4 linked regions of the Struthio camelus genome follow. The protein of the gene in region 3 purifies or fractionates together with the protein of the main gene of each other region. This does not show direct contact. Links are inferred from orthologs where the notes say so. Each region holds a gene or a part of one and is shown on either strand. Other genes may lie near its edges.

The links.
Region 1: the proteins of PRKAR2B (region 3) and AKAP11 purify together in Homo sapiens (affinity purification with mass spectrometry; 3 studies listed by BioGRID and IntAct, counting the BioPlex papers as one, with this or other methods). This does not show direct contact. The link is inferred for Struthio camelus from reciprocal best matches to the Homo sapiens genes PRKAR2B and AKAP11.
Region 2: the proteins of PRKAR2B (region 3) and CDK5RAP2 purify together in Homo sapiens (affinity purification with mass spectrometry; 3 studies listed by BioGRID and IntAct, counting the BioPlex papers as one, with this or other methods). This does not show direct contact. The link is inferred for Struthio camelus from reciprocal best matches to the Homo sapiens genes PRKAR2B and CDK5RAP2.
Region 4: the proteins of PRKAR2B (region 3) and AKAP1 purify together in Homo sapiens (affinity purification with mass spectrometry; 3 studies listed by BioGRID and IntAct, counting the BioPlex papers as one, with this or other methods). This does not show direct contact. The link is inferred for Struthio camelus from reciprocal best matches to the Homo sapiens genes PRKAR2B and AKAP1.

The regions. Positions count from the first base shown.
Region 1 is NC_090942.1:189,553,136-189,560,109, reverse strand, and holds the start of AKAP11 (A-kinase anchor protein 11), read right to left. Parts: upstream 3,010-6,974; 5' UTR 2,926-3,009; intron 2,855-2,925; exon of another isoform or gene 2,711-2,854; intron 1-2,710. UniProt on the Homo sapiens protein: Binds to type II regulatory subunits of protein kinase A and anchors/targets them.
Region 2 is NC_090961.1:7,999,391-8,007,005, forward strand, and holds the start of CDK5RAP2 (CDK5 regulatory subunit-associated protein 2), read left to right. Parts: upstream 1-4,615; 5' UTR 4,616-4,621; intron 4,622-7,615. UniProt on the Homo sapiens protein: Potential regulator of CDK5 activity via its interaction with CDK5R1. Negative regulator of centriole disengagement (licensing) which maintains centriole engagement and cohesion. Involved in regulation of mitotic spindle orientation.
Region 3 is NC_090942.1:16,003,404-16,011,008, reverse strand, and holds the start of PRKAR2B (cAMP-dependent protein kinase type II-beta regulatory subunit), read right to left. Parts: upstream 3,006-7,605; 5' UTR 2,937-3,005; coding exon 2,618-2,936; intron 1-2,617. UniProt on the Homo sapiens protein: Regulatory subunit of the cAMP-dependent protein kinases involved in cAMP signaling in cells. Type II regulatory chains mediate membrane association by binding to anchoring proteins, including the MAP2 kinase.
Region 4 is NC_090957.1:20,970,750-20,977,850, reverse strand, and holds the start of AKAP1 (A-kinase anchor protein 1, mitochondrial), read left to right. Parts: upstream 1-4,089; 5' UTR 4,090-4,108; intron 4,109-4,179; exon of another isoform or gene 4,180-4,256; intron 4,257-4,509; exon of another isoform or gene 4,510-4,637; intron 4,638-7,101.

The sequences.
Region 1 (6,974 bases), about 170 Mb from region 3:
TGCTAAAAATATTTTTCCAGCATTAAGTAAAACATAAATTAAAGTCTAAATGACTTTGTTTTTTGGTCAGAACTACATGTGCCTCAATTCATTAACTGCATCTTTTGAAATACTTCAGAACACATTCCAATTAAAAGTATGCTTGTTACTATGCTCATAAGGTCTAAAAATAGAGCACTGTTGTTCATCAATTGTACACTAAGATCTACCTGAAGATTTGGCTCAAATATTTTCTTTATAAAAAGACCTCCATTCCCTTTTGGTTCACTGATTCCACTCTTACAGTGGTATTGCCAGCATACTGCATCACTGTCTTTAGCCTTCTTTTTGTAAAAAAGATTTTCAACATTCAATTATTAAAACAGGCAATCATTTCAAAAAAAAAAAAAAAAAAAAAGGGCAGCCATTTGTTCCAGAATATATGGCTGAAAAATCTGGAAAATTTGCAGTTTTCCATCTACCCTGAATTGAACCTCTTTGTTATTTTTAAAAAAGTTGGATAAGCAACTACCACAGAAAATTGTCTCTTTTAATACTGCTACAGTATAATGATAAACATTTCACATTTTATCATAAAATAACTACACCATAGAATGTTATAGAAAATATTAACATTTCTCACGCTGTATCTTCTCCAAAACTTGAAAAATAAACTCTTTCACTATAGTAAACAGCAAGTACTCATCTTTTCCCTGTGCAAGTTGACTCAATATTAAAATGATTTTTATTTACTTTCTAATTGCATATCAGCAACACAGATGGCATCAGAGCCATAAAAATAGCACTAATCAGTTGAATGCCACTGTAGCAACACTAAAGAACCATAGAATCATTCCCTTTCCTTCACCCTTCAAAAAACCTTTTACTGTTTTTCACTTTTCCTCCCTACTACACAAGGAGGACTTTAAACAAAAGGGATATTTGCTTTTGTTCACCTAAAGGAAACATTTTTAAGCCACTACAGGGAAAAAAAAAATCAAATTAAATATCATCTAAGCAAGCAGACCTCTCAACTGTTAGAACACCAGAAAACCTTTTAAAGCATAAAGAACACCTGTTAAAACATAAGAAACTTTTTGGGAGGCGGGGTGAATTCTCAAATATAGCCTTTAAGAAAAATATTACCTAACATACCAAAAACACCCATTAGTCTAGACTTTGGGGGTTATGCAATTAACTTCATGTTTTTGCACTTTATTCTGTTGTGTAACACAACACAGCTAAACTTTCTTTTTTTAAAATGATTGTGTAAGTAACAGCATTTCAATAGTAGCATTACATTTTTCAAGCAATCTTATTTCCCCTGGAGAAGCACTTTGCCAGAGAATACCCTGTTTAGGAGGGTCTTTTTAATACTGTAACATACCAAATGATTAACAGGAAGAGGGAATAATCTAATTTATTTTTATTATTTTTCCATACTGTGCAAGACTTTCCATTGCTATACTCTTCCAACTGTCAATATATTTTAAAGAATCTACAAAGGATAAAAAAAAATATTATCATTTATCAGAAAAGACAGCACAATTTCATTACTAAGTCTCAAAAAGTCACCTTGCCTGCTCATGGATGAAGACCAAGGAATTTGCCTGGACAAATGGGACCAGCACTATTTATAAATAGGTAATTTCTCAAGAATTAATACTAACAGTATCTCTCACAAGACTAAAGACTAACTGTATAATTATGAAATAAACTTTCAACCCAAGTAAGACTGTCTTTCCAACTCTAATATGGACAACTTAAGTGCACTGTGCTACCATTGATTTTATTACTATTGATCTTTCCCAGACAAAATAAAACTTATTTTTCACCCTATTTCATAGTGATTTATTTGCACTGCAATAATATCTCAAGGCTTCAATGCGAATCTTATTGCACAGGATCTACAGCCGCAGTTCATAACCTTTTTTTTTTTTAAATAGATATTAGGGAAAACCACAGAAACCTACAGAAAGAAGTAACTTCATTAGACATAGAGAGAGCTGCACAGAAGAGCGAAGAAAGCGAACGCACAACACTCCCTCCCCCTCTCTTCAGCAAGGAAAGGAATTGGGAGAAGGATGGGGAAGGGGAAAAAGAAAAGCCACTTTTAAAATGCTAAACGCCGAGGACGAGGTGAACTTATTGAACCCGTGTGCATCAACCACGAAACAAGCCACTAGGCAGCCGAGACGGCCTCCGCCGAGCGGGCTAGCGGACTTCCCCGGCCGGCAGGCCTCCGGCGCAGCCCGCCGCGCCCCGCTGCGCAGCCCACACGGAGGGGGGTCGCCAACACCGCCCCGCCGCCACCGCGGCCCAGGGCGCTGCGCTCCCCTCAGGTAGGCGCGCTGCTCCCACCGCGGGCGCAGGGAAGCGCCGGGCCGGTGAAGAAGCGCCATGCCCGAGGCCAGGCAGAGCCCGCCGGGGAGGAGCCAGCAGCGGCGCACCCCCGGCTCTGCTCCCCGCAGGTGCGGGGGGAGGGGAGCGCGGAGAAGGGGCAGAGCATCCTCACCTCCCTGCCCCGCCGGGAGCCACCTGTGGGGACGAGCCCCCGCCGCCCGGCAGGCCGGGAGCCAGCGCTGCCCCGCCGCCGCCGCCGCCCCGCCCTCAACGGCTCCCCCAGCCTCGCGCACGGACGGAAGCAACGGCCGCCTCGCCCCCCGCCGCCAAAAGGGGGGCGGTGGGGGAGGGAAGAGGGCAGGGGGGAAGAAGAGCGGGCGCCCCGTACCTGACTGCCTCCTCAGCATCCGGCGCCCGCAGCCATTTCGCCTCCTAAAGCAACAGAGCGAACACCCAGCTCGGCCCCGTCGTCGCCCGCCCGCCCGCCCGCCCCCGTTACCGCCGCAGCCCCCCGCCGCCGCCTCCCCCCGCCCCCCCTCCGCGCTCTCGGCGCGCGTGCGTGCCGCTCTCGCGACGATTCTCCGCCCCCCACCCAGCACCCACCGCAGTCTCGCGCGCGCCCCCCCCCCCGCAGGAGGGAGGGCGTCACGTGGCGGCTCCCGCCGCGTCCTCATTGGCCGCCAAAGCGGGAATTCGAAGGAATCCTGGGAAGGAGGAGGAGGAGGAGGATGCGCTCGCCAGCGCCCCGCCCCGCCCCTCAGCGTGGGGGTGCGCGCGCCGCCCCCGCCCGTTATAGGCGTTACTCGCCCGGTAACGGGTGTGTGTTCCATCTTCTCTACTTAGGAGCTGCGTTTTACGCGCCTTCTCCTGGCAAAGTTAGGAACAAAACGCACCTCGTGTCTGGCCCAGGCCACCTGTCCCGTCTGCCCCTCCAGGCCTCGACAGGCGCCTTCTCTGAGGGGGATGCTGCGAGGTGGCTGGTGCTGCTGCTGCCAGCCGAAGAGCCTCCGTGGCCAGTGCTGCTTCGTCCCATCCACAGAAGTGACGGTACAGTCACGACCAGTGTCTTCCCTGCAGCAAGAAGCATGGCATGGCATGGTGTGAGGCTACTGCCCTTCCCTCAGCACCTGGCGTGGCAGCTGCAGCCTTTGCACAGCCCTTGAAAAGTTGCGTGAGAAGCAGGATGCCAAACTCTGTCCTCCAAGGCATTCGGGAGACCTGCCAGGTGGGTCTTTCCTGCCTAGTCAGTCTGGACTTAAGAGTTGCCCCCTGGTTGCATGCAAAAACCTCTCACGCAAGGCTTGGCTTGCCACCTGGCTGGCTGGCTCAGCAGGGCAGATGGGTTAGAGGCTAAATCTGGTTTTAGTCACACAAGGCACAGAGAGCAGACTCTCAAACTCTGCCTGAAGCCCCCGAGCATTTCTTTCTTTCCCATCCCCTTTTTAAACTCAGTGTTACCGGGTTCCTCAAAAATTTAGACGTGAAAAGATACGCCATCAATACGCAATCTATTTTCAAGTTGAGCTATGATAGTGATGAGTATTTAACAGTGCGTGCTGTTGGAGCATTGCATTTCTTTCTGTCTGCATAGAAGCAGTGATCTAATAAAAGCTCATGCAGCTTCCCAACATTGCTCCATTACAGCACCAGCTCTGTCAGACACTAACATGGCAACAGCAAAGGAGGAAACAAACCAGAAAGTCTGTTGACTGCAGTGGATTCTCTGCACTACCCGTCAGCTGTGGATAGTCTACCGCTGTAGGCTAACAGTTCTGTCCTTCCCTCAAAAAAAGACACTCCCAAAATCCAGACAAGTCTTTCTGAGGCTCAGCATGTAAGAGTGAAACTAAGGAAGGGGAACAACAGAACCAGAATTCCACTGTAACTAGAAACTCATGCTAGGTGGCATGGGATTGCAACAACTTTTCCAGGTCAGAAAAGAAAGAGCCCCCACAGCTGTTTTTAGCACGAATCCAAAACTTTATATACTGGCAGAAAAGGAAAGAAAACAGATGCTAGCCTTGTAGCTTTTATGAGCTAAGGATTTCAAAGTGTGACCCATCTGCTTCACAGAAAGAGACAAAGACAGAGAGACTATGCTGACTTCCTACTAAGTTGTGTTTATCTCTTCTTCCACTACTACCTGAGCCCTATAAAAAGACAGTGAGAGTGTGTTCTTGCCACAAACAAACGAACCCTGTTTGCTATTGGATGTCCATAACTTTTTCCACGCGATTCCTGGCTTCTGTTTTTACTTAAGCCTTAACTTTTACTTCTGTTTAGTCCTTGATAATTTGCTCTTTCTGGGCTTCATAATCATTTTAGCCACTTCAGAAGTCAGGATGCGTATTCACTTATTCATATTATCAACAGAGAAACTTAATTTTAATTTGTCCTAAAAACTAATAAGCTATGGGGCAAAGCGTGCAAACCATGTAGGCTAGATAGATAAAAGAATCAAAGGATCACTGGTTCTAAAACGCTAGTAAAGTGGGTCGAACAAAAGGTTTCTCTTATTCCCAGGGACTACAGATCCCTATGGGATGGGGAGAAAGTAAATGAGTAATTGAATTAAATTTAACTCAGGTGTGTCATCATTTCAGTGCTCGTTGAGACCATGCTATTTTATAAATTCACTGTCCTTTAAGTAAGGAAATTGTAACAGTTTTGCAGGTCTTTGGTGCCTTTGTTGACCAACTCCTTGGTTCAAGGTACCTTTCAGTTTTCATAAAAACTAAAAATTCTGTAGAAGGGTTTTGTTTTTGTTTTTCATATATCAAGACTTACTGTAAGTAAAAGTGTTCCAAAACAAAATAGATCTGGAAACAACATAAACATGAGAAAGAATGCTTTAAAAATAAATTCAAGCCCATTCTTCCCTTTGGTCTATAATTCCCCTTAGACTATTCAGAATAATGATTTCCTATGGTTCTCTGCCAAAGCCTTGAAAAAAAATCAAGATTTAACCTCATCCGGAAACTATGAAACATAACCCACAGCACACCATTGTTTGTCAGAAAAGTGTTTTTATATACAATATTAAAAATGGAAATAGCTTTAGAATAGCGGTTGTTTTTTTACAACTGATTTAAATACTGCCTGTGTAAATGTATAGGAATATTAGCTGGTGAGTCAACACTTCTTAAAATGCATATTAATTATGAAGAAATAGAGTGTCAGTTTCTGCGCTCTGGTAATCTGTGTCCTGTAGAGCACACGTTAGTCTTACATTTTTCATAAACTTTGGGGTGGGCAGGTGGAACAGGGGGGAGTTTCACAGACAGCAAATTCAAAAGTTGAGGGTCATTAATAAAGCAGATATCTAGTGGAATATATGATCGAAAGAGCAGCATTCCCTTATAGTGAAAATACTGAAATGAAAGGTGAAGAATAATGAAGCACTTTTTTCAACTAATGCATTTTCCTACTCAATACACAAGTATAGGTAGATAAACCCAAAGCATACATATCTAACATAGATTTGACAGGAATCAGACTTATCCAGGGGACTGATATAATGGAACATAGTTTTTATTTGTCTCATTAGTTACCACAGGAGCATTTCCATGTTTCAGGAGGGGTATACCTGATGGGGATATATCGGGTTGTCCAGGGGCTGCCATGGTTGTATTGTCAGGAAAGTTTGGTTGTTTGCCAAAAGCGGGTGTGTAAAACTTCACTGCTAGTAGGAGAATATGGACCTTGCCTAGCAACAACATCCGTTACCAGGCCCTATGAAAGTGAGTAAACACAAGCTGGACTTAATGGTAACTTTTCAGGATGCAGAAGAGTTGGTAGTAGGATCCCTCAGGAATCAGGGCAGGGACCAGTTTTATTCATCTTCATCCAAAGCAGGGAGTGCGGAGTGAAATGTCCAGGGTTGAGGATGCTACTAAATTCTTCGGGGCAGGCAAATTCCATGCCAATAGCAAGGAATATGCTCACCACAAATAATATCTCTTTTAGCACTAATCAGAGATGGAATAGTGAGTTAGATGGAGCCTTTTTGCTGATCCAGTGGGGCTTCTCTTAATGTTTTGGGTTGGTTTTTGTCCCATTTTCTTTTTCAGGTGAGGAATACATAAAACTTTTCTGGATATACTTCCAAGTTTCAACATCTTTCTTTTTATCTTTTGTAACCATATGCTGTAGGTGTTAAATGGTTATATGGAATACTGCCCTCATGAGTTTCTAAGGATGGAATGCTATTAGAAAGTTCATAAACTATTTAAAGGGATATTTTCTGATTCTATAAGTTGTATACTTCTCTTTTAAGGTAACAGAATATTTCTAACAAGTTATAATTTGATCTGCAACATGACAGAAATGAATGCAAGATAGATTGTGATTTACCCCTGGACATTGCTGCGGTTTTGTCATGTAGACACTTGCAGTGTTTTCTGCTCTTTCTGTATCAAAAACATATTGAGCTGTACCTTTAGAATCTTTTCTAGCAGAAATATTATTGTGTCACTGGTACTATCGTGAGTGACTATCTGCACCTGTCTAATAAGCTTGATATTTTCAGTGTAACTGGCTTAGCGCAACTTGTTGAATGTCTAGCTCAGACTGACTTGTTTGTCATCTCTCTAACATACTCAATGCCAGTTCTATAAAAGGAGATGAAGCACTAATCTGTGATTATATGGCAG
Region 2 (7,615 bases), on a different chromosome or scaffold from region 3:
ACTCTTCTGAGTCTGAAGGCAATAATGTGCAAAGGATCACACATTAACCTAGATCTCAGCAGAGGTCAGGTTTGGTTTTCACTGTCCCAGTGACTTGCAGGATGACCTGAGACAACTTAAACCATTGCTTTTGGGTCATTTCCTTGTCTCTAGAGAGAAGCTTGTGATATAGATCATCTTATGAGCAAAGAGGTTTAAGACCTTCAAACATAAAGCACTGCCAGTGAACTGTTATTACTTTACTATGCAGTTGGCAGCAACCTCTCCTACAGAAGAAAGTGTAAATCTATTTCCCAACCAGCTTTTATATTCACGACAACCTGCCATCGTCCAGATGCGCAGTTCATTAGCGATCGTTTAGTTTTATCTGGCCATAAAAGCCCACGTAAAAAACCTGCTGATTGAGCATGCAATTCAAATACATCTTCCGGAGTCCAACAGACAATTCCTAGCGCTTTATCTGCATTGAATGAAACATAATCTTTGCCACTTAGAACACAACAAAGCTAGATTTCTTCATACTTCTCTTGAATTGCTAACACATAAAACAGAAACACAGCCCATTTTCACAGTGAAGTTCTCTTCTGAAACAGTTAGTATATTAACCAAGAGTATACAAATCTGCTTCAAAGCTAATAGGCTCTTTTCCTTCCAAACACACTTCTTCACATCTGTTCATTCTCGCTCTCTCCACTTCAATAGCAATAGTATTTGGTAAAGCTCTCCAAACTGTAGCCATTGCAGAAAGACTGTATTTACTGATGTTTGGGTAAGAACTAATAAGAGACCTGGTTGTGTCTCTCTTCCTCCAATTCCAAAAAAAATCAAGTCAATATTTATATACTCACCGGTGAAATAAAACCCCTCTCCCTGGAGGGGAGGGAAATGAAATGAAGTGATTGAAATGGATTTCACGGAAGGAGATTTTGTTTGCTTGCTTGCTTGTTTTGAGAGCTGGGGAGATTATTTTTTTTTTCTTTTTTGTAATTTAAATGCAATTGTATTGCACAGAGTGCATCAAAGTGACTTCACAGTGGGAGCTTCCATTGAGGACCAAAAGCTCAGGAGCCTTTGCATGCTGCTTGACCCATCGCTGTATTTAACAGAAGCTAGGCTCAGGTACGTAAGGGGCTGGAGTGTCTCCATTCCCACAAAAAGCTGGCTCAGGATGCACCCGGCTCAGCCCTGATTCAGGTCGAACCCTCAGAGCGGAAGCGGTTAACATTCCAGCAAGTTAGATACAGAATAAACAATTTAATCAGCATTGTTCTAGCTCTCCCAAAAGCTCATCCAAAGTCTGTTAAGGGCCAACGGAAAGATTTGCATTGACTTCTCAGGCCTTTAGAACATGCTCTGATTTTAGTAAGACTTTTTGCTTGTATAAACCCATGGCAAACTTCAGCCTTTCTGCTATACTGTGCCTTTGAAAAGAAAAGGGCTATGGATAAGAGATTTGCTTTTTGCCTGTGACAAATTGCCTTGCTGGTCTTCCCCCTCCACCTACAATGAGGCTCTGGGGCTTGTCTGTTTTGTCTGATTCATAAACCCTTTCATTAAAATAATAATCGAGCATTAGGTACCCTGATCCCACCACCAACATGTCTGTTGAAGGTAGTTTCCCTCTGCCAAAGGCAAATCCTACCAAAGCACACACCTGGGCTGACTCTCATACAGCTCTGCAATGCTTGAATTTTCAGTGTGAGCTACTTCCATGGCAGCCAACTGCAGTATTATGTCTGCAGCATGATTAGCATCTCCGCACTGTGCTTAAGGATGGAACAAGAAGCCTTTATTTATAACTTTCCTATCAAAAGCATCTATTGTTCAACCCTACCTAAGAAAGTCACTATTACTGTGGTATTAAATTGTTTTCAGAAAGGACTTTGAAGCCTTTTGCACAAGATAGCTAAAGTTTGTATAGCAAAAAGGGTCACTGGGATGTATTTTACCCTAGGCTGCTGAAAAATCGTTTCCTGGGCTAGCTACTAGAGCTGGCAATGTATCAGCTCTCCTGATGTGGTTTAGGAGCGTTTAAAGGACCAAACTTTTTCTTGACGTAAATTGACGGAGTACCACTGATTGCAGCCAAGCATCCCCCATTCGCCACGTAGAGAACTTGCAGCAGATTTGTAAGTACTTGCAAATAGAAATAAAAACATAAACACTGAATGCTCCATAGATTCCTCTCTGCCCTTAAAAAAAAAAAAGTGGGGAGGGATTGAATATTAGCAAAGTAAATCTGACTTTACATTACAAAGCACATCAGGAAGATAAACACAGTAAGTTTCCTGTTATTTGTTAAATTGTCCCAGTCCAACTATGGCAACTTCCTCCTACTTCTAAATAACATGCGGACAGAGGCTTGCATGAACAGCTTCAAACTAGCGAGCAAAATCCACCAGGCAAAATCCACCGTTTCCACTGCTCAAAGTTACAGCAGAAGAACTGCAATGAACTTCAGTGAGTTCAGATGAATCTTCTATTCATGTAACAGCACTGAGAATTTGGCCCTTACATATTTCAGAAATGTAACCAAGGCAGTAAGTCCTCATTTGACCAAATCAAAATGTTTTAAAGCCTGTTTCCTATCTTCCCAAAGTCTCTGGGAGTGAAGAGGAGCCTTGTCATTGACTAGGGTTAGATCAAGGTCAAGTTTTACACTGCAAAACCAAGAGAGAGATAGTGTTTACTCTCCAATTTCTCAGAAAACCGTCAAATCCCTCTTCATATGGAACATTTCATTTATGCGTCATTTACAAACTTTTCCACTGGCAAACTCACCACACTTAAAGATTTTCCTCATACAAAAAGTATATTTTGTCAATACCATCTCACTTCATATTAAGCCTGAACACCCATCCTTCTTCTCTTATATTGTTCTTCTCTAGGATTTATTGTGAGCTAACATTAAGCTTTTTTTTTTTTTTTTTTGCTTGTTTATACCTAAAAGGCAGCTTTTCATCTCACTCTATTTCTCAGTGTCTCATAGGAAACTCTTCTCCAAATGGCTCTGTCTCCTTTCCCACCAAATCCCAGCTTTACCACACAAGCCGGTCCAAAATTCACGGCAAGACTTGCGTTAATCAGCAGAACAGAATAAGCGAGACTATTTAGTACTTTACATCTTCAAAGACTTGAATACGCAACAACTCTTTGTTAGTGTTTTCCTCGGTGGATGTGCCCCAGGCAGGGAGTGGATACAGTGCTCTCTCTTTAATGCTGATATTGCGCACCTGATAGCCGCGCGGTCCAACGGCTAATGCATCCTCAGTAGGTAACTGATGTGGGTAACGTGGCTCTCATTTCAGCCTTCCCTAAAATAACAAACAGAAAACACCCAAACCAGCCATCCCCATCAAACACACGGCAAACAGGTCACGAGTACAAAAAACGCTTTGATGCACCTACCGTGCCTTTCATCAAAGCATCCTGAAAGCACTTTGCAATTACTAATGTGATCCCTAGTTCATCACTCACCCACACAGTTTTCCCTCATTTACCAGCTGGATATGCAGAAAGCCCCAAAGACTAAAAGGCGCAATTCTGAAAGAGATGCCTGAGCCGTCACAGGTTCCCCAGAAATCCCTGAGCGCTTGCGCATCCCACCCCACCTCGGAAAAAAACAGGCCATTAGTAACTTGTCCCGTCCCAATTACGGTGAGTAGCAAAGCAAGGAAAAGAGCCCAGGACTCCTGCTCTGCAGCCCCACAAGTCCACCGAGCTTCAGCTCAACACGCATTGCACTCGGTAAGTATTGCAAAACACACGCCTGGCCTCGGTACACGGTCAGCAAAGGGACCTTGTGGAGAAAATAAACAGTTTCTCTGTACTCTTCACCCCTTCATCTTGACCTGTTTTTTTTTTTTTCTCTCTCCTGACATGCCATTATTAAACAACAGGAACAAACTAGTTTCTGTGTAAAACCTTCCCCAAAGTAGTTGGAAGATAGCAAGAAATGCCAAGGTTTCTATTTTCCTCCCCCCTCCTTTTTTTTTTTTTTAAGGGGAAATAACACGGAATTAAAATATTTGTAAACAGCACTGATCAGCATTTTATTTTATAACTTTTTTAAAAAAATTTTTATTTTAAATCCAACAAAGACCCCCCTCTCCCCCTAGGAATACTAGGAGGGGACTATGCTGAAAATTATAGATTCCAGAGTTTGCAAGAGAACCACAAAAGCTTAATTATAGTTATTGACATACCAAACACCCACTGAAGGCTTAAGCTTCCCTTGGCCAGAAATAACCACACAAAGCGAAGGTAAAAAAAAAACGACATCAAACCACCTCAGCTAGGGACAGCTTATTAAAGCACCGAAGACATGCCTTGCTTGCCTCCCCGTATCTCAGCCTAAAGGAGATGGTCGGGAGGGAACAGTTGCTGTCATCCCACAGGCAGACTTTCAAGCCGGTTTGTTTAGGGCGGGTTTTATCCCCCATCAGGTAGCTTTGCACAAGTTACCCCTTTCCAAACGCCTCGCTCCAGGACTGTGGCTTTAACAAAGGCCCAGAAGAGCTCCTGACTGCTGAGAGAACCAGCGTTCATCGTGACCGTGCAGTGCATCCTCGCTACTCCCCGACTGCCTGCGTCCCACCCTCCCCAGGGACCGGCAGCAGCGATTGCGGAGGGAGGTGGCTGCAGGAGAGGCTCTGCAGGTAGAGGTGCGACACCCATGGGAATTAGCAAATGTCTGGACTGCTCCAACCCAGCCCTTCCCTGGCCAGGCCTGTTTGCTCTCGGGATAGGGGCTGGCAAGGCCTGAAGGAACGGCGCTTGTGGGCAGCTCGCTGCCCTCTGGGCAGACTCCACGCCGCCGCCAGCTGCAGTCAAATCAAAGCGTGTGTGTATAAAGCGATGCTAAAAGGGTTAGAGAAGGTGGAAGCATCAGCTGGGGTGTTCAGAGGGAACCTATGGGAGGCTAGCGAACATCAGCCCTTCCGGAGGGACCCTAGTCTTAGGTCGCTGCCACGTGGCATCAGCTGAGCATGCTGCTAAGGGGGCCCAGCCTGCTCCACAGCTATCAGCAACTTACGGCCCGTCCTGCTGCGCTTCTCACGAGCAGCCTCACAAAAACTGCAAACACCATCTTGAGACAGCCTCGGAAAGGCAGGGAAGATCCAGATTAGCAAGGCAAACTAGACACAAGCAGCAGTGAGGGCTTGGTCACTGCCAGAGAGAAAGGCTGATTCAGAGCTGGGGAGACATCGCTACTAGAAATGAGCTTGCCATCGAGTATTTTCACTCACTTTCATTTCATCAGCCTGGAAAGCCCTCATCTTTCCTCCCTTGCCTCCCAACCATGGGATGGCATCTGAAGGGATGGAGATGCCTATTCAAGCTGGGCTACGTTTGCCTAAGCCTTACAAGCTCATCACCTTCTACTGCAGTCACGTAGCCATGTTTGTGCAGTGGCTCTCAGTGCTCTTTACAAACAACAGGCTGGACCACAAAGCCCTCACTCAACTTAGAGAGAGTGTATTCATGCAAAAACCCACAAGGAAGCTTCTAGGACCAGCAGGAGTAAATAACTGACCGCGGCAACACGTGTTTCACATTCACGTCAAGTACCTTGCACCTCTCCCATGTGATTGTTGAAGACTGGGGACAAAGGCCAAGGGCCAGACACGCTCCACCCCAGGTGGCGACTATGCTGCACTCAAGTGATGTAGCTACAAGGACAGCAAGTTCAGGTGGACCAAAGTCAGCTCTGGTGCTCTCAGCCCCCAGAAAGTCCCCACACTTATTTTTTCCATTGAGTGACATTGCCCTTGCCCTGTACACTGTACAGCACAGATGTCATCTATGCAGCTTCATCACTGGTCCCTTCCCAACAGCCTGCGGGTTTCGACACCATATCTGTTTCATGCAGCAGTGCTCACATGACAGGCTTTGATGAGAGCTGTTCCCCAGCCAATCCACACAGCAGACAAAAACCTTTTGTAAGAAGGGAGAGGTCTGAATTAACCCTTTTTTGTGGCAAACTTTATGGCTCGTACATCCAGGAAATTTGTCACTTAACAGCAGGGCCCAGTGCCCAGCATCTATCCTTGCTTACATGCTATTTAACTGGTGGCACATCTGTAACCTGAGACACAACCAAGAGGCTGCAGTAAAACTTCTTTAGAAGGGATACAGCCAACGCTGGGGCAAACCAGAGATCTTCCAAGGAGAAGCGTGGTGCCAACAAACACCTAGCTCTGTGGCTATAGCAATACTTGGTACTCTAATTCACAACAGGGATGAAAGAACTCTCCCTAAATCGAGAACAGAGAAAGAAAATAGAATGAAAGTCAAACCTGAATGGACTGGTTATTGAAAACAGCAATACCATACTGATTTGTCTTTCATCTTCTATGCACCAGCTTTAGTCCACTAAATCACTACAGAATTCACTGGCATTATTCCTAATTTTACAGTGATTTGGGAGAAGGGGGGGACAAAGGCAAGCAAACAAAATCTAACTGCCTTCACTGTTTTGTTTTTCTGGTTTTTGTTCAGCCAAACAAAGAGGAGGTTCATGTCCAAGCTGACTGTAGAGCCCACAGAATGCTTTTGCTCAGATGATCTCTTTAAAAACAGTTTGCAAATTTGGCACCCAGCATCTTCAGCAACTACCATTTGCGAGTACTTTCTTATCTCCATCTGGTCACTATAAAAACTTTGGTGACTTTAGTTACTGTTGCTACAGATTAATCAACTTGCTAAGTCCCTCTAAAAGAGCAGGAAGTCCTCCAAAAACTGATCCCTTGGTCATAAAAAGAACAAAGCCAGGAGTAGATTAATCACGATGTTATTTCCAATGCAAAAGTCCAAGCAGAAAAAGTCTCAGTTTCAATAACAAAGCTCACCCATCTACACCAACATGCTTTCGTTCTTGGTGTCAGAGAAGAACACGCTGAGCAGAAATCCAAGTAATACAGCAAGCTGTATGAGAAGAGCATGCTGGTGGAAATAAGCAGCAGAATACAGACTATGTGAACCACAACCAACCAATACTGCCAGGTTTGGCTGCCTTCCCTGTGTCCGCCAGCGTCTAAGATTTCCCACTGCAGTATGAGCCAGGCAGCAGGACTCCCAGGCATCACGTATGTGTAGCACAGGAGGAGGGCAAGGAAGGGGGAGTCTAGGAGTGCAGCCTCAAGCTACTATTGTTTTTAGTCAGGAGTAAAATACCAGGTGGTTGAACACAGGCACGCCAAAGATATTATGAACTGAGCTCACCTAAACCTGACAGACACTAAAGGAAAGGCAAGATCACAGGATGTGAAGGAATCTGGTGATGAACAGACATGGCTATCTCCATATGCCTGGGAGAAGTTTGCAAGCCTGTCTCAGTGATGCAAATTGGGATTGGACAGACTGAAAACAACCACCTGAAAGAAAGGCCAATTTTAACAGTGTCACCTGTCCTAAAGCGCCAAAGCCAGAAGAGCAGCTTTGGGAAGCAGCCTGGACATGATGCTGATGCAACGCCCAAGGACCAGCATTAGTCCTTGCAAAAATATCCTTTAAAAATACAACCTCTAAAAAAATCAGAAGCCAGAAGGCAAAGGAAAGGAACCCCAAATTTATTATCTTTGTCACATCCTGGTGAGTGTGAATTTAGGCTGTC
Region 3 (7,605 bases):
TACAAATTATGTGGGTCTTTATCCATCAAAATAAGGTACACCTTAAATTCTAAATGCTAATGTAAGGAGAAAAGTATAGGCATTTGAAAGCAGACAAATAACTTAGTGAGCATCTTCAAGTTTTGCACAGATACAGCATAATACGTTGTTATACACATTTCAAACTTTCAAAAAATTAGAGGAATTTTCTAAAAATGGGCTCAATTTTATGTACGCTACTGTAACTAAGTCCTATCCAATTTAAGTAATTCCTACTAGTATTAACAGGAGTTATTCCTGCAGATTGACTAAAACTCATACACCTGTGTAGGACAACTTAATATTAAAGAAACTAGAAGATCTCAAAATCATTTCCAAATTAAGCAGTGTGTTCAGAAGGTGATACTCTAAATGTTCTGAACTTGAACAATGTTGCTTCAGAGGTCACATTAACTACAGGTGCTAATTCAGAATTACGACAGCAATACTGCAAAGAACTGCAAGCCACACAAGGTAACGGTCTTAATTGTGGCTTGATTTCTGCAACTGATGTAATGGACACAGACTAGGACCCGAACACAGTTTAATTCTTGGCTCGCATACAACTCTTAATCCTGAGTACGGTAAATTTCTTAACATAGCTTATACCTCAACTCATCATTTCTAAAATGGAATAATGCTTATGTATCTTACAAAATATATTTCAAGGACAAAACTAATGCGGACAAAGTGTTCAGCTGCAGTGTTTGCAGGAATTCAGAAACATGTACTGGAAAAAAAAGGAGTTGGAGACAATAGCAATTACAACAAGCCCCTAACAACAAGGACCTGTTTGAATAAGCAAATTAGGAAATATTGTCAAGTTGATTTAACAAGAATTCTGCTTCAACAAAAAAGGTACTGCAGACAGGTCTAAGCTCCTTGCCGGAATTTTTTTTTTTCATTTACTTTTGCTTATAAACTCTCGCAATTTGTTTTCCTCTCTTGTATGACAACAGTACACCAGTAGGACAGACTGATTATATTGAAGCAGTCTGATTACTCACAAAGACAAAAGCAAAAAAAAAAAAGAAAAAAAAACAGATTTTTTCCTCCAGCTTGCATTCAAGAATTGCTACTTACAAAAACAGAAAGTAAAAGCAGAAAAGAAATACACTTTTAAATAGATATTTAAACCCATTAAACAATGATTTAAAGACCAGGCTTTATGCCTCCACTTATTAACAAAAGGCTGAGCGGATGCATTGCTGTGCTACTTCTGAAGAACAGATATTCAAGGTAGATGTAAAACTTGCACTTAACATACACTCTCCCGTGCAATGTGTGTGTGCACAGGCACACACTTATTAATAATTTACTATAATGTACTCATTAATACACCTTCCATGTGGTTTCAAAAATATTTCCATTTTCATACTTTCAGTTATTAATTATTCCAACCGGCACAAATTACGAGTCACAATATAATTAAACTTTCAGAATATATTAGGCTTTTTTATTATAATTTCCCAATTTTTGCCGGTGTTATAGACAACATAGCGTCAGAGTTCAAAATCACCACGTACATCTGCAGAACCTGATGGACGGATTCAAATTCTCATTAATTATACACCCCCAGCTACAGCTGCAAAGAAGAGACGAAAGGAATGCCGACTATATTACAGCGTAACACAAAGCATCCCGAAAACTTTCCCAGTTCTTAAACATCCAGGGTTTTTTTCCTGATAAAATGCACGTAAGACATTATTTTAAAAACGACACTGATACTCATCTAGCAAACAGCTGGCTTCTGTGCTCTGCTGAGCAAAGCCACCTTCAGCATGACCGAGGAGGACCAGTCCTTCGATGACCTGATGAGGTATACTTCAATTTCAAGCTGCTCAAGCTAACGATAAAGATGCTTTGACGCCGTCTTGCTCTTCTCCGGCGCACCTTACACCGACGGACCTCTCCGCGAGCCTGCTGGCGGCACAAGGACCGGGTGCCACGCACCCGTGCGGGACAGCTCCCGCTGGTCCCATAAATCGGGTTGGTCCGGTAGATGGACACGGTGCTGCTCGCTCACCCGGGCAGGCACACCAAGGCCGCACCAAGGCCGCCGGCTGCCGGCAGACAGGTGTTGCCCTCGGCTGGGAGCGGAGGCGGCGTGCGCGCGCCGGGCTGCCCTCGCCGCGACGCCCGCGCCGTAGGCCCTTCTCCATCCCGCACAGTTTCCACCTGACTTTTTCTTTCTTTCTTTTTGTTCCTCCCTAAGAGATTTCGCTTCCTGCGATTCCGCTGTGCTGATTTATACGAACCACACGTTGCGGCCACGGAAAATGTTTGACCGGGCTGCGTGGACGCAGCGACGCGCCCAAGAGAAAGGTGTTTCGTGAGGTGGGAACGGCAGCGCGGCGCTCGGCTAATGAACAACCACCACCACCACCACAAAAAAAGCAACCCCCACACCCTTGGCGCCCCGGTGGCCTCCTGGCAGCGGCGGACGAGCGGAGCGCCCCCGGGGCGACACCCCCGCCGGCCCCGGCGCCGCCTTGCGCGGGGCGCGGAGCTGCCAGCGTCGGCGGCCGGACAGACCCCGCCGCCCGGCCCGGCCCGGCCCGGCCCGGCCGCCGCCCGCGCCCCGGCCCCGGCCCCTCACCCGGGAACGCCTCCTCCTGCTCCTCGCCGCTCTCCGAGTCGCTCTGCATGGGCTCCTCGGCGAAGTTGACGCCGCGGGCGTCGGCGGGGGCCCGGCGCGGCGGCAGGCTGCCCCGGGCGCGGTCATGGCCCGGCGCGGGCGAGTCCCCTTTGCGGCCGCTCGCCTCCTTCTCCTTCTCCTTCTCGGCCGCCGCCTCCTCCTTGAGGCGCCCGAAGTACTGGAGGGCGAAGTCCAGCAGGTCCGCGGGCTGCCTGCGCAGCACCTCCACCGTGAAGCCCTGCAGCAGCTCCGTCAGCCCCGCCGGGATGGAGATGCTCATGCCGGGGCCGGCCGGGGGCCGCAGCCCGGGCAGGGACGGCGGGCGGCAGGCGGAGGGAGCGCGGAAGGGCGGGCAGAGGCCGCCGAGCCGCAGCCAGCCGGGCAGCACCGGCAGCCCGAGGCCGAGGCGGAGGCGCGCCCGGCCGGCCGGCCGCCCGGGGCAGCGGCGGAGGGCAGGGCGCAGCTGGCAGCCGCGGGCGGGCGGCTCGGCGGCGGCGGCGGCCGCAGCGTCTCGCTCCGCTTCGCCCCGCACTCGGCGCGGCGGCAGCAGGCGGCGGCGGCCCCGTCCGTGACTGAAACCTCCCCGCCCCCGTCCCCGCCGCCGCCGCCGCCGCCGCCTCCCCCCTCCCCTCTCCCCGCGCCGAGGGAACCTCGCGCGCATGTGACCCGCGAAACCATGACAACCTCCCGCCGGGAACGGCGGCCCGCAGCGCCCCCGCCCCCGCCCGCGCCCGCGCCCCCGCCGGCAGGCAGCGAGGGCGGGCGGCCCCGGCCCCGGCCCGGCCCGGCCCGAGCCCTCGGCGCCCCCCGAGGCGGGAGGCGCCCGCAGGGGGCCAGGGCCGCCCCGGCCTCGCCGCCCGGGCCCAGCGGCGGCGGCGCCGCCTCGGCAAGGCCGGAGGGCCCTTGGCGCCCCTGCTGCGCCCCCCTCCGTGAAACACCCCCCGGCCCGGCCCGGCCCGGCCCGGCCCCGCGCTGGGCTCGCTTTTAATTGCTATTGTGCTTTTCTCAGGGAGGCGTAGCGCGTCCCGTTCTGCCCTCCTAAAGATGTTCCCCACACCATTCATATACCTATACATACATATATATACATGTATATGCATCTATTTATGTTCATATATAGAACTTAGGATTGGAGGGGTTAGGAAATGCATCCTGTTGGTCAGCTGCTTGTCTAAACGCATAAATAATGCAGCTGGAAAAAAGAAAACAGTTGTAATAAAGACCGTGCACGTAAAGAGCGCCGTACGGCTGTGCTCGGCGTAAACCCTTTCGACTCGGGCCGCGGAGCGCCTAGGACCCTTGTGGTAGGTGCTGCTTGTCGTTTCTGGTGAGCTTCGTTTTTTTAAAGCGAGTAGCAGTTGCGGGTGCTGTGCTTTTCCATCAGGCTTTGCTAAACGCTTCCTGAAGGCGAGGTCCTTGAAATGCATGAAAAGTGCATCGCTCCGTAATTGCTGATCACAAAATCTGGCCAACCTTTTGAGGGTTCAGAAATTTCTGTTAGAGTCTTATTTTCATGCACTAAGAGAATTGACTGCTAAAACGTCTAAGGTTGAAAGTGCTTTGTGATAATTGATTTCACGAAGCATTCTGGATTACTCAAATTGCCTTGAAATGTATTCCATCGGGGCTTAGGGTGAGGTAAGCAGTCAAAATTTGTGTCCGTAATAGCAAGGAGATACTGAAAGACCTAGCTTGAAGAAAGCCACATGGCAACAAAATATAGCAATCTTTTCATGCAAATGAGGATCTCAAAGCCATTTTTAATTGAAGTAGTGTCCAGATGGAATGCACTGCTCCCCGTGGAAGCAATTTCAAATTGGAGTTTGTTTTGTAAGCTGGATCTTCAAACTGTTCTAGACCTGCCAAATGAATGGGGAGAGTGATCCATTCACGCATGGCGATATTGCTGCTCTGTACTGAGCGATGGAGTTGTGGAATACCTTTGAGCAACATCCTGCCACTACTGGCTGCCAATGCCGCCCGCCCCGTCTGCCTTTACAAATCAGCGCAGGGGTACCATGCAGCCACGTGTGCTACTGGGGACAAGAATCAAGGGCCACAGGAGAGCTGGCACCTGTATGTTACGGACAGTTGCACACCTTGGTCATTCTAGAGGGTGTTTAGCTATAGCTAGAGATGCCAAATTGGCTCACTTGTAAGTTTAAGGGGTGCATAGCTTAAAAGCCCTCTCACACCACTAAGAGCGTTGACCTGATCGTGATCAGGTTGAGAGATACCCAACTTGGAGGAAACCTCCAGAAGGGGAAGTATCTGACACTAGGTCCAGCTAACCACTTGGCACCTTGCCGTTGCAAGGCGTTCTTTCAGCCTGTGATACTCCATCTACTGGAGTCTTCAGGGGCTAAACGCATAGTTATCCCTGAGGTTTTCCGTTAGCCAGACAGAGCTCTCTATTACTAGGAATTTATCAGCAGCACAGAGTCCTTCACCCTCTGATCAAGGATTTTGCTGGCTTGCTAGGGCCTCCCATCCTCCTAGGCATGGTGGAAGTGAAAGGAGATTGCTTCTCTGAGGACATCCTGAAGAGCCAGGCTTTGCTCTCTACTTTTTACTCTTCAGGGACGCAGCCACAGTCTGTCTAAGGAGCAGGAGCTAAACTCCAGTGAATCTCTTAATAAGACTGGGGACTTGATGATACAGCTATCAGGATCTGGAAAGTACAGCTCTGATACACTCATTAGCCAAGAGGAGACAGGGGTAGGGAATGATCTACAGTGATGTCTTTCTGTGATCAGGAGCTTGGCTCCAAATTTTGAGTTATCACTTGTCCTTCTTCACGTGTTCTTAGCTTTATTTTAGCAACCTGTGAAAATCCAGAGGAACCTGTGACCTCGATCAAAAATGTCATTTCCTCTATCTAGCAGTAACAGACTTAGCTTTTGTAGGAAAGCCCAGTGATGATTTTATTTGGACACTGGGCTACCCTTGCTGCAGGGAGGCCTTCTCCTCCCCACACTATTTGTTCTTGTCCCGCACAAACTCCAAGCACTTTGTCTGAAAGTCAGCAAACATAATGCCAGTGGTAAATCTTACTTGTTCTTGTGGCAATGCAAAAATCATAGAGTAGTTCCCACCTTCATCAGCCAGTGTATTGGGCTTATCAGGAATGAATATATTTCAGCTGGGTGCCCCGATTCTTTTCTTGCCTTCCTTTCCAACCTGCATCAGTACTAGTCAGCAGAGGAGTCAGATGCCAGGCAACGTAGGCATGCAATATGGACATAAAAAGGGCTATTCCAGGAGTCTGCAATGTTGTTGCACGTGGGCCCATCCTGTGTCAGCATCCTGGACGCAGCTCTCGGAAGAGCCTAGGAATAGTCTATCATGTCTATCTAGGGAGTTGATGCAGAACAGATACTACTAGCATTCCCTGGAAACAAGCAATTTTCTTTAGATACATCTACTGGAACAAAGCATTTCTTTCTCATTGTTAGTTTAAGCCTTGTTCTTGAAAGATTTCTAAAACTTCTGCTGTGCACGTTACTTGGGCAGAAGGTTGCAGCCAGCCTTCTTCAAAACCTTTGCTCCGGAATAGATTTTTTTCTTGAAAAAGAAGTATTTCAAAGTGCTCTGAGATCTGTAAGCATGCTCAGATTGTTTTGAAACGATTTTTTATTCTTTGGGGGAAAGGTAAACATTTGAGGTCTTTTGGCCAACAGGATTAGACCATTGATGGAGCACCTGGTTTTAATAGGCAAACTGTTGTCCTGTTGGTGGTCTTGGTGTTAGTATGCAAAACTGGGAAAATTAGAATAAGAGATTCCAGATAGGTGGTGCTCTAAAGAACGATTTTTTTTTTTTAAATTTTCAAAACAGCCTAAAATGCATGTATCTAGTGAGACTTATCTTGAGTTTTGGAATATCTCAAAGAATGGCAGTGAACTTTGTGGTTCACATTGCTGTCATTTGGTTACCTTAGAAACTTTCCGTTCCAAGGAGCTTGTCCTGACATGTAAATTGCTTTTAAATCCTCATAGGGAGGGCAGTTCCCCAAAATGTATTATACTGTAGCAGAACAATCAGTTAGGTAATGAGAGGATCGGTTCACACCTCTCTGACCACCTTTGTTAGTTTGCACTAATTTCTGTGTGTCATTCTAGTTCAAATGAAAATGTCATCTTGAAGTGAAAGAGCATATAAAAACTTCAAAAATCCTTCTGTACAGCAAAGGGCTTGGGCCCAACATTACTCTCACAATAACCAAGAAAGTGAAGTAAAGACTCTTGTGGTCTCCTTTCCTGCTACCCATCAATGCATTCCCCATTACACGCAGGTTACCAGCCTTTGTCTCAGTCTGTCCCTTCAAGTGATTTGAGGTATGGAAGAACTAAGAGAATACAACTCGTAATGAAAAATAGGAAGCCCGATGCCTCCTACACGACAATTTCAGACAGCGTGCTTTGGACAGCGGTTGGGACCGCTTCTCTCAGAGGTCAGAGAACAAGATCTTTTCTGAGCATGTAGAGGACAATGAATAGAGTGCAGAAGGAAGAGAGGACAGACTTTAAAGCCTTGTCTTTGTCAGAATAGATTTAAATTTAGTAAATTTAGTACATTTGAGCAAACTGAGTCCACCTAACAGCCGACAAGGCTTCCTCTTGCCAAGTTCCAGCTGATCTGAATAGCTTTCTCCCAACCTTCCAAAGACGTTTTCTCCAAGACCCATCTTCTGATTAACCCTGACTAAGCTCTGGCGTGCAATTCATGCAATACATAGTGGGCAGAAATGTGTACTTGACACCGTGAGTGTAAAACTGTATAAAGCCTTTTCTCTAGAGTGGAAAGTAACTTTTACAAGCATACTAGTGGAGTACAGGCTTTTAAAGAAACTCTCTATTACCTTCTTGGAGGTGAGAAGAACTATTATTATCTGCTTGGATCAACTGCACAGCTAGCCCAGAAATAAGGGACCTGAATCTCTTCAGCTG
Region 4 (7,101 bases), on a different chromosome or scaffold from region 3:
AGCCTTCGAAAACACAGGAAAAATCAAATGGCTGGGTCCAGAAGAGAGCTATCAGGAAAAGGCCTAACTGGGATTGACTTTTCCAAGCTCTGGTTTACTGACTCAGTTGCCAAAGGCTACTTATGTTTAAGGTATGGCCATAAGACTCCAGGCCACGGTGCAGTGACTACCTTTGCCTTAGCTCTGCTGGGCTCCATTGCCTTTGCTCTAATTTGCTTTCTTTGAAGCTCCTCCACTTGCTGGCTGTGCTTCCCCCGCTCCTTACAGTAGCAGCCATGGAATTTTTTTTTTCCTTTCCTTGGTGGAGAAAACCCTCCAAGGGCAGTTTATTAACTGCTCCCTACCCCTACTAGAGCTCAGTCATTCTCAGAAAGAGGCCTGGAGTGCATTTAGCACAGCGTCGAGCAAGTAAAAGAAAGGGCTTTTCAGTTCTCCTCACAGCAGCTAGCACATGCAATGAGAAGGCAAGGAACAGTTCTGTGCAGTGTGAGAGACCCACCCAACTATCTGTAAACAGACATGACTGAACGTGGGCTGGAGACAGGGCAGAGACAGCAACACTAAGGCAAAGAAGAGGCTGGTTCAGAGCAATACAAAACATACAAAAGCTCCAAGTCTCCAAAATACAAACACAAGGAGGCCACTGAGGTGGCAGGGGCAGGACAACAAAGTGAGGGAAGGAACCTCTTAATTTACCCAGAACATATAGCATCTAACGCCTCAGTGCAGTAGGGCTCAAACAGCAAAAGTATGTGCTGTTGAATATTGACTTACTCACGTGAGACGCAGCTCACCCAAAGGTGAAAAGGGGCCATCACCCCGCTCTGTGCATTCTGTCCCTCCGAAAGCTGCACTGGATCTGTTCTCCAGGTCTTATTCTTCTCTGCTCCTCCGCACAGCCAGGCCCATCCTTGTTTCTAGTTCCTGGTCTCATACAATTCCTGAAAGAGGGAAAATTACTGCTATTCCCTTCATCAAGTACAGTGCCCACATGGCTGCACTACTCCGAGGAACTCCTGTACAGAGACAGGCATGGCGCTCAGAAGTGATACACCCTCTCACCCATGGTAGCTCTCTGCCTTTTGCATGGAGATGAGGGGTCTGTCGTGGCTGTGGGAGTGGGACTCTTCTGCACTGCAGCATTTGGAGCAATGACCCACTTACAGACAGGCGAAACCAAGCTTGGGCTAAGAGAAGGGAACCTGCTGTATCACTCTGACGCTTGGATCACATACCCTGCAAAGCAACTCAGCAAATATGCTTCTGTTGGCTTTAATTTTCCAGTTCTGTCTGAGATGTTAATGGGTATACCCGTGATTTACAACAAAGGCATAGGTAAAAAAAGCAAGAATAAATTAGCCTTGAGGATGCTGACATAACTTATCTGTTCTTTTCTTGGTTTCACTAATCCCTTTTTCCTTGTATGGGGCCAATTTTTCTTACCAGAAACATCACTAAAATTTAACAAGCCACCTAGAACATTTTCCCACTCATCGAAAACTCAGAAACATGTACTGTTTCTGCATGAAAAATGTGACTTATCAGCCACAGAGGCAGTTATTCATTCTATTAGCAGTTTGTTTTATTTGACTTTTAGTTATGACTTCCGTATTACTCAACAGAATTTTATTTTTTCGTTTCACTATAGTAAAGCTTACAGACTTCAACTAAGATAAGCGCTCCACTAGGCTATGCAATCCATGCAGGGTAAGATATCGTCCTTGCCCCAAGAACTTAAAATGTTTACAGTCACTTCTTGTGGCTGACACAGATTGTCTTCGTGACCTTGGATAAATCTCTTAACATCTCAATACCTGAATTGCCTCACTCAGTTAAGGATTGCAGTCACTTGACAGGAATTCTTATACAATCTTCTGAGATTTTCAGATTAAATATATTAAAAGGGCAAAGTCTTAGCGTTGCTGGCTTTTTTTTTTCCACTTCACACGTTATGCATTTTACCATCTGTTAACTGATGTTTCTAATTTATGACTGCTCTAAACAAAAGAAAATGATTTAGGCAAACCAGGAACTTTTCATAGAAAAATACTTATACAAATGAGTAATTTGGGAAGACAATCCCACTCAGACACTATTTTGTGATTTTTTTTTTCTAAGTTACTCATTTACACTGTCAAACGTACTAACTGCCTGCTGCATACACATGTAAATGAACAACTGAGCAGTTTTAATTCCAGTTACTAGTAACCAGTAACTGGTTAGTAAGGCCAATAAAACTACCTTGATATCCGATTGTTAAAGTGTTCACAACAGTAGATTTCCTGCATCATTTACTTAACTTTTATTATAGCATGCTGTTTACAGCTGGGCAATATAAGAACTGAAAGAAGTTATGTAGCATGAAACCTTGGTTACTGGAGAAAGGAGGCTAATTTTGAGCAATTTGTTGCTATCAGACGAAGATGACAAACAGGCTCTCACAGGTACGCAGACTCTAAGGATGACGATTGAGGCTTTCACATACTGCTGCAGCTCCTGCTGGTTATCAGCAGGAATTACTCTGTTTTAATGGCCGAGTCCTCACTTCTTTCTCTGCTGTCCCCTGCTACCTCTTCTTCCCCAAAGCATGCTTGCATGAGCCATCTCTCCCTTGCCTATTTCTTCCCTCTGACTTTGCCACTGAGTATCAAAATGATAAAAAGCTGCTTGAGTCATCCCCTTGGGAAATCCAGAGCCACCTCTGCTACCAAGAAGGCTCCAGTGACGAACCGAAACCAGTTTTCTCTTCTCACAACATAGAAACAAATGCCAAATGGGTGCAAGTAAAGCGGTTTCCCCAGAGTACATCTCAGTGCCCAGATGCAGCAGGTGCCCTCTGGTTTGCAGCAGGAGCAAAAACTTTGCTAGGCTGCATGGAAAAGAGAAGCATCGTAGAAAAAAAACTGATTCCCGTGACTCCTTGCCTTTCCATGCAACTGTGCTGGATTATTTGGAGAGAGGCTTCACCACTCCCAAACTGCTCTTCCCACAAAGACTTGGCATGGAGGCCACGCTCCTCCTGTTCTGGGTGTTAACAGTTTTATTAACACAGAAATTAACAACGCTTCACCATTAAGGTCGGCATGGTGAAGGCATGGCCGCGGCTCAGATTGCTCAGGCCGCACCCTATATCCTTTTCCTCTTCCATACCAGTCCGCAGTGCAAACTCCCAAGCTCCTTAGAGTAACGACCACCACTTCTCGCACTCTGCTCCAAGTGACTTGCCCAGAACTGTCCTGCAAGCAACCCTCAGAGCGAGGGGCAGAACCGGGCCCTGCACACCGCTCCTGGGCGCTTTTCAGCTGCGCTTCCCCTCCCCAAATCCTCCAAGATTCCTTGGGACACAACAGTCATTTACACACCGTATTTCTCTTAGGGATGCAAAATGCTCACGGTGGGATGTAAAAAGCTCTGGGGGGAAATGTAGTTAAGTGTTTAGCAATGAAATGAAAACATAACCCTCATTAAACCCAACGAGCACTACTGCCTCCAAGCAATTACCTCGCTGAACATGGATTTTCATTTGTCAATCCGGTTCAGCCGTGGTAGCAGAGACTCGGCCTGGCATAGCTGCTGCCTTACCCGACGGCTTACTATTTAACACCTCCTCATCAGCTGGGCGCCGGGCAGCACGTGGCTAACACTTTGCCTCCTAGCAGAGATCTGACTACGCGTCTGAACGGCCTGGGGGCCGTGGCCAGCGCCGAGCCCCATGAGGGGACGGTCACAGGCTGCGGCTGTGGGGCTGAGGAGAGCCGCACAGTCCCGGCGGGGGGCAGGGCTGACAAAGGCGCCCGACTCCGCGCTCTCTGAAGGAGGGAAGTCAGCCACCGAAAGCCCGGCGGCAGCGGGAGGCGCAGCAGGTCCTACCCCTCCGCAGGCGCCGCGGGGTGGGGGGGGCGCCGCCATGCCGGCGGCCGCCGAGGCCCTCGCGCGCGTAACGGCCGCTGCGCTGACGGTTGGGGGGGGGAGGGGACAGAGGGGCGTGCGCAGGCGCGCGGGCGGGTCTCGCGCGGCGAGGAGCTCTCGCGAGAGTGGGCGGGGCGGGGCGCGCGGGGCCGGGCGGGGCGGGGCCGGGCGGGGCGGGGCGGGGCGGGCGCCGGTGCAGGTCGGAGGCGCCAGTGCGCGGCGGGGCCCGGCCGGGCGGCACGTGGGGACGGCGCGGCCCGCGGCGGGCGGGGGGCGGGCGGGAGCGGGACTGGCGCCGGGCACCGGGCACCGGCGCGGGGGAGGGGGAGCGCCGCGCCGCACGCACTGTAAGTACCGCACCCCCCCCCCCCCCCCCCGTCCTCAGCCCCCTCCCTGGGCCTGTCAGCCGCCAGGCCGCCCCGGCGGGAGGCCTCCGCGGCGCGGCGCGGGCCTGGCGGCCGCTCCCTCAGCCAGGTCGGGGCGGAGCGGAGCGGGCCGGGCCGGGCCGGGCGGCGCGGGGCTCCCGCCGGCAGCCAGGCCGCGCCGGTGACCGCGGCGGGCCAAGGTCAGGGGCGGCGCGCTCGGGGCCGGCCGGCCCGCGGGTCACCCCCGGCGGCGGCGGCGGCTCGGAGAGGAAAGCAGGGGGCGAGCGGAGCGCCGCAGGCTGGGTGCTACCGGTGGGGATGTCTCGCGTTGTCTGCGGTGCGATAAAACTCACTCATAGTCGGGTAAGGCCCCGTCAAGCTGGTATTGACAAACTTCTCGTGTATTGGCCTTTTTTGTTTTTTTGGTCTTTATGGCAGTGTATAGCGTGGTGTGTAGTCAAGGCTGTAGGAATTAAATTGCATTTCTCCTCAGGAAGTAATATCCTACTGTCCTTGCCCTTCTGGAAGAAGTTTTGTTGTTTTGCTCTTTATTTTTTCCTTGAGGGAAACAAGTCTAAGCTACTTGTGTGCCGGGGTTGGGCAGCTTGGTCTGGGTCTGGCTTTCTAAGGTCTTTGTGGCAACCTGGTAAAGCATAATATGAAGCTGCAGCTGTGGCAGGGCAGAATGAGTAGGCATCTCGCTAAGGGCATCCTTTTCATGGCAGGTGATCTGCAGTGATAGGAAACAGCAACTGAAGCTGCACGCTGCCACGATCCACATGGCAAGGAAAAGTAAGGGGCCATCGGATGGAAGTAATTCTGACTTTCTGCGTTTCTAGGCTCGTGTGCTGCCTTCGTAAGGTTGGCTGTTGTGCCTACACCTGCTGGGTGTTATCAGAATTGCTGTGGACTTTGTCTCAGGTGAAAGGAAGTGGCTTGTTGCTGGGGAAAGTGGTAGCAGGAGAAGGTAACTTTACTTTTCTCCTGTTTGCTTTGTGCCTGTGAATGATCTACTGAGTTACAGCCGTATGTCTGGGTGCAGTATAGCCAAGGAAGAGCACGTGACTTGCTGGAGTGCAGCACAACTGCTTGTAAGGGGTGTGTGACTTTTCCTCGGTAGCACGTGGATTGGAGCTGTCAGAGCAAGGGAGCTGAGTGGCATTGGCTCCTCTGCCAATGGGTCACTGTGTGACCCTGCTCAGATCACTTAACCTCCTCATTCTTTAATGAGCTACCTGCGTAATGGGTGAAATACTCTGTAGCCTTCAGCTGACCTAATGTGCCTTTCATCCAGTAATCTTAATGTACATATGATGTAGCCTGAAAAAAAGGATAGTGCAGTTTCACTATATGTGTCTTGATTACACAGTTTTATTCTTGATTAATTGGCTTACATGTAAGTGCTCACCTAATGCTGAAGAAAATTAAAACTCTTTAGTAAGTTAAAAGGAGCAAGAAACCTGTAGAACTCAAGTTATGCTGTAAGCTTACTAGAACCCACCTTTTCATTACATAACTTTCTGTACCACTCACCTGACAGTCCCACAGCTTCTGTTTCCAGTGCTCCTTTGAGCTCTCCAAGGACTTCTAGAAGCTCTCATGAGACAGCAAGGCTTGGGGGAGTTGGGCACGCCAACCTCACTGTGGTGGTACAGTACCTTGCCCAATGGGGCCAATGATTGTTTGCTCTGCCAGACGTGAAACAAAATCCTGGAAGAGGCTGTCCAAGGATATCATTAGACTCTGGAGGAGCTGCATGAGAGGGCTGTAGGAACCCAGGTTTTGTGTGTTCTTGTAGCTGCTGCTTATTTAGGTGTGCTCTCTGTAGTCGCACCAAGTTTCGATACCTGGCCGAGGATCCATGTTCCATCTTAAAGCTACCTGGAGGTGCTTTGGGATAGCTACGTTGAAAGTCTGTCTCTATCCTCTTTCATCAACTGCCTAGAAAGCCTGGGCTTTAACCTAGGCGTTCCCCAAAGCCTGAAGTTAGACAACAGGAATTCCCCTTGCCAGCCACAGTGTGAGATGAAGGCACCTGTAGTTCAGATCCATCATGCTACATAGGTTCCTAATTCCTGCAGGTCCTCATAGGAGTTAACTATGAGAGGAGTCTGGTTGTTGAGGATTGCAGCCAAAGCTGTTCAGAGCCAGAAGCAGGTGACTTGCTACACTGAGACTCTTGTGCTCATTTCAAAAATGTTGCAGGCTGTCTTTTGGGATATTTGAAACAAGTCTAGTTTTTGCAGTAGTAGAGTTATCTGAAGAGCGTAATGCTTTTAAAGCAACATACCCTACTTATCTATAGCGCTCATCTTCCATGTGCGCTTAACTAATGTGAGCAATTTATTTAAGGTATTTCTAATGTCCATGGAGACTGTAATAAAATCAGGCTTGGTATCCCCAGGTGCCCTCCGCAACATCTAGAAGTAATTAAAAAACATGAATTACTTTCAGTTATTTAATGTTTGAGATCTAATGGCTGGCCTTCTTTAAACTGTGATTTCTAACTACAGTGCTCGTGTGGAACTCTTCACGCAAATGGCCTGGTTAAACTTTGTGAAGTGTAACTTCAGGCAGCCAGTTTGAAATACTTGTAAGGAGCTGTTTTATTCAGCAGGTGCTTAATATTTCCTGGAAGTTAAGGCTATTGAGTTTGCTTTTCGCAGGGATCCCAGAAGGTGATAGGTTTGCATGTAACTCATTGCTTTGCAGTCTGTGTTCAGCTGCTCTACTTATTAATTGTCCCCTGCAGGAGTTCTGTGCAACTTTGCTGCTGCATTTTATACACTAGCTGGAAGCTGACTATTAATTTATGGGATCTGTACAT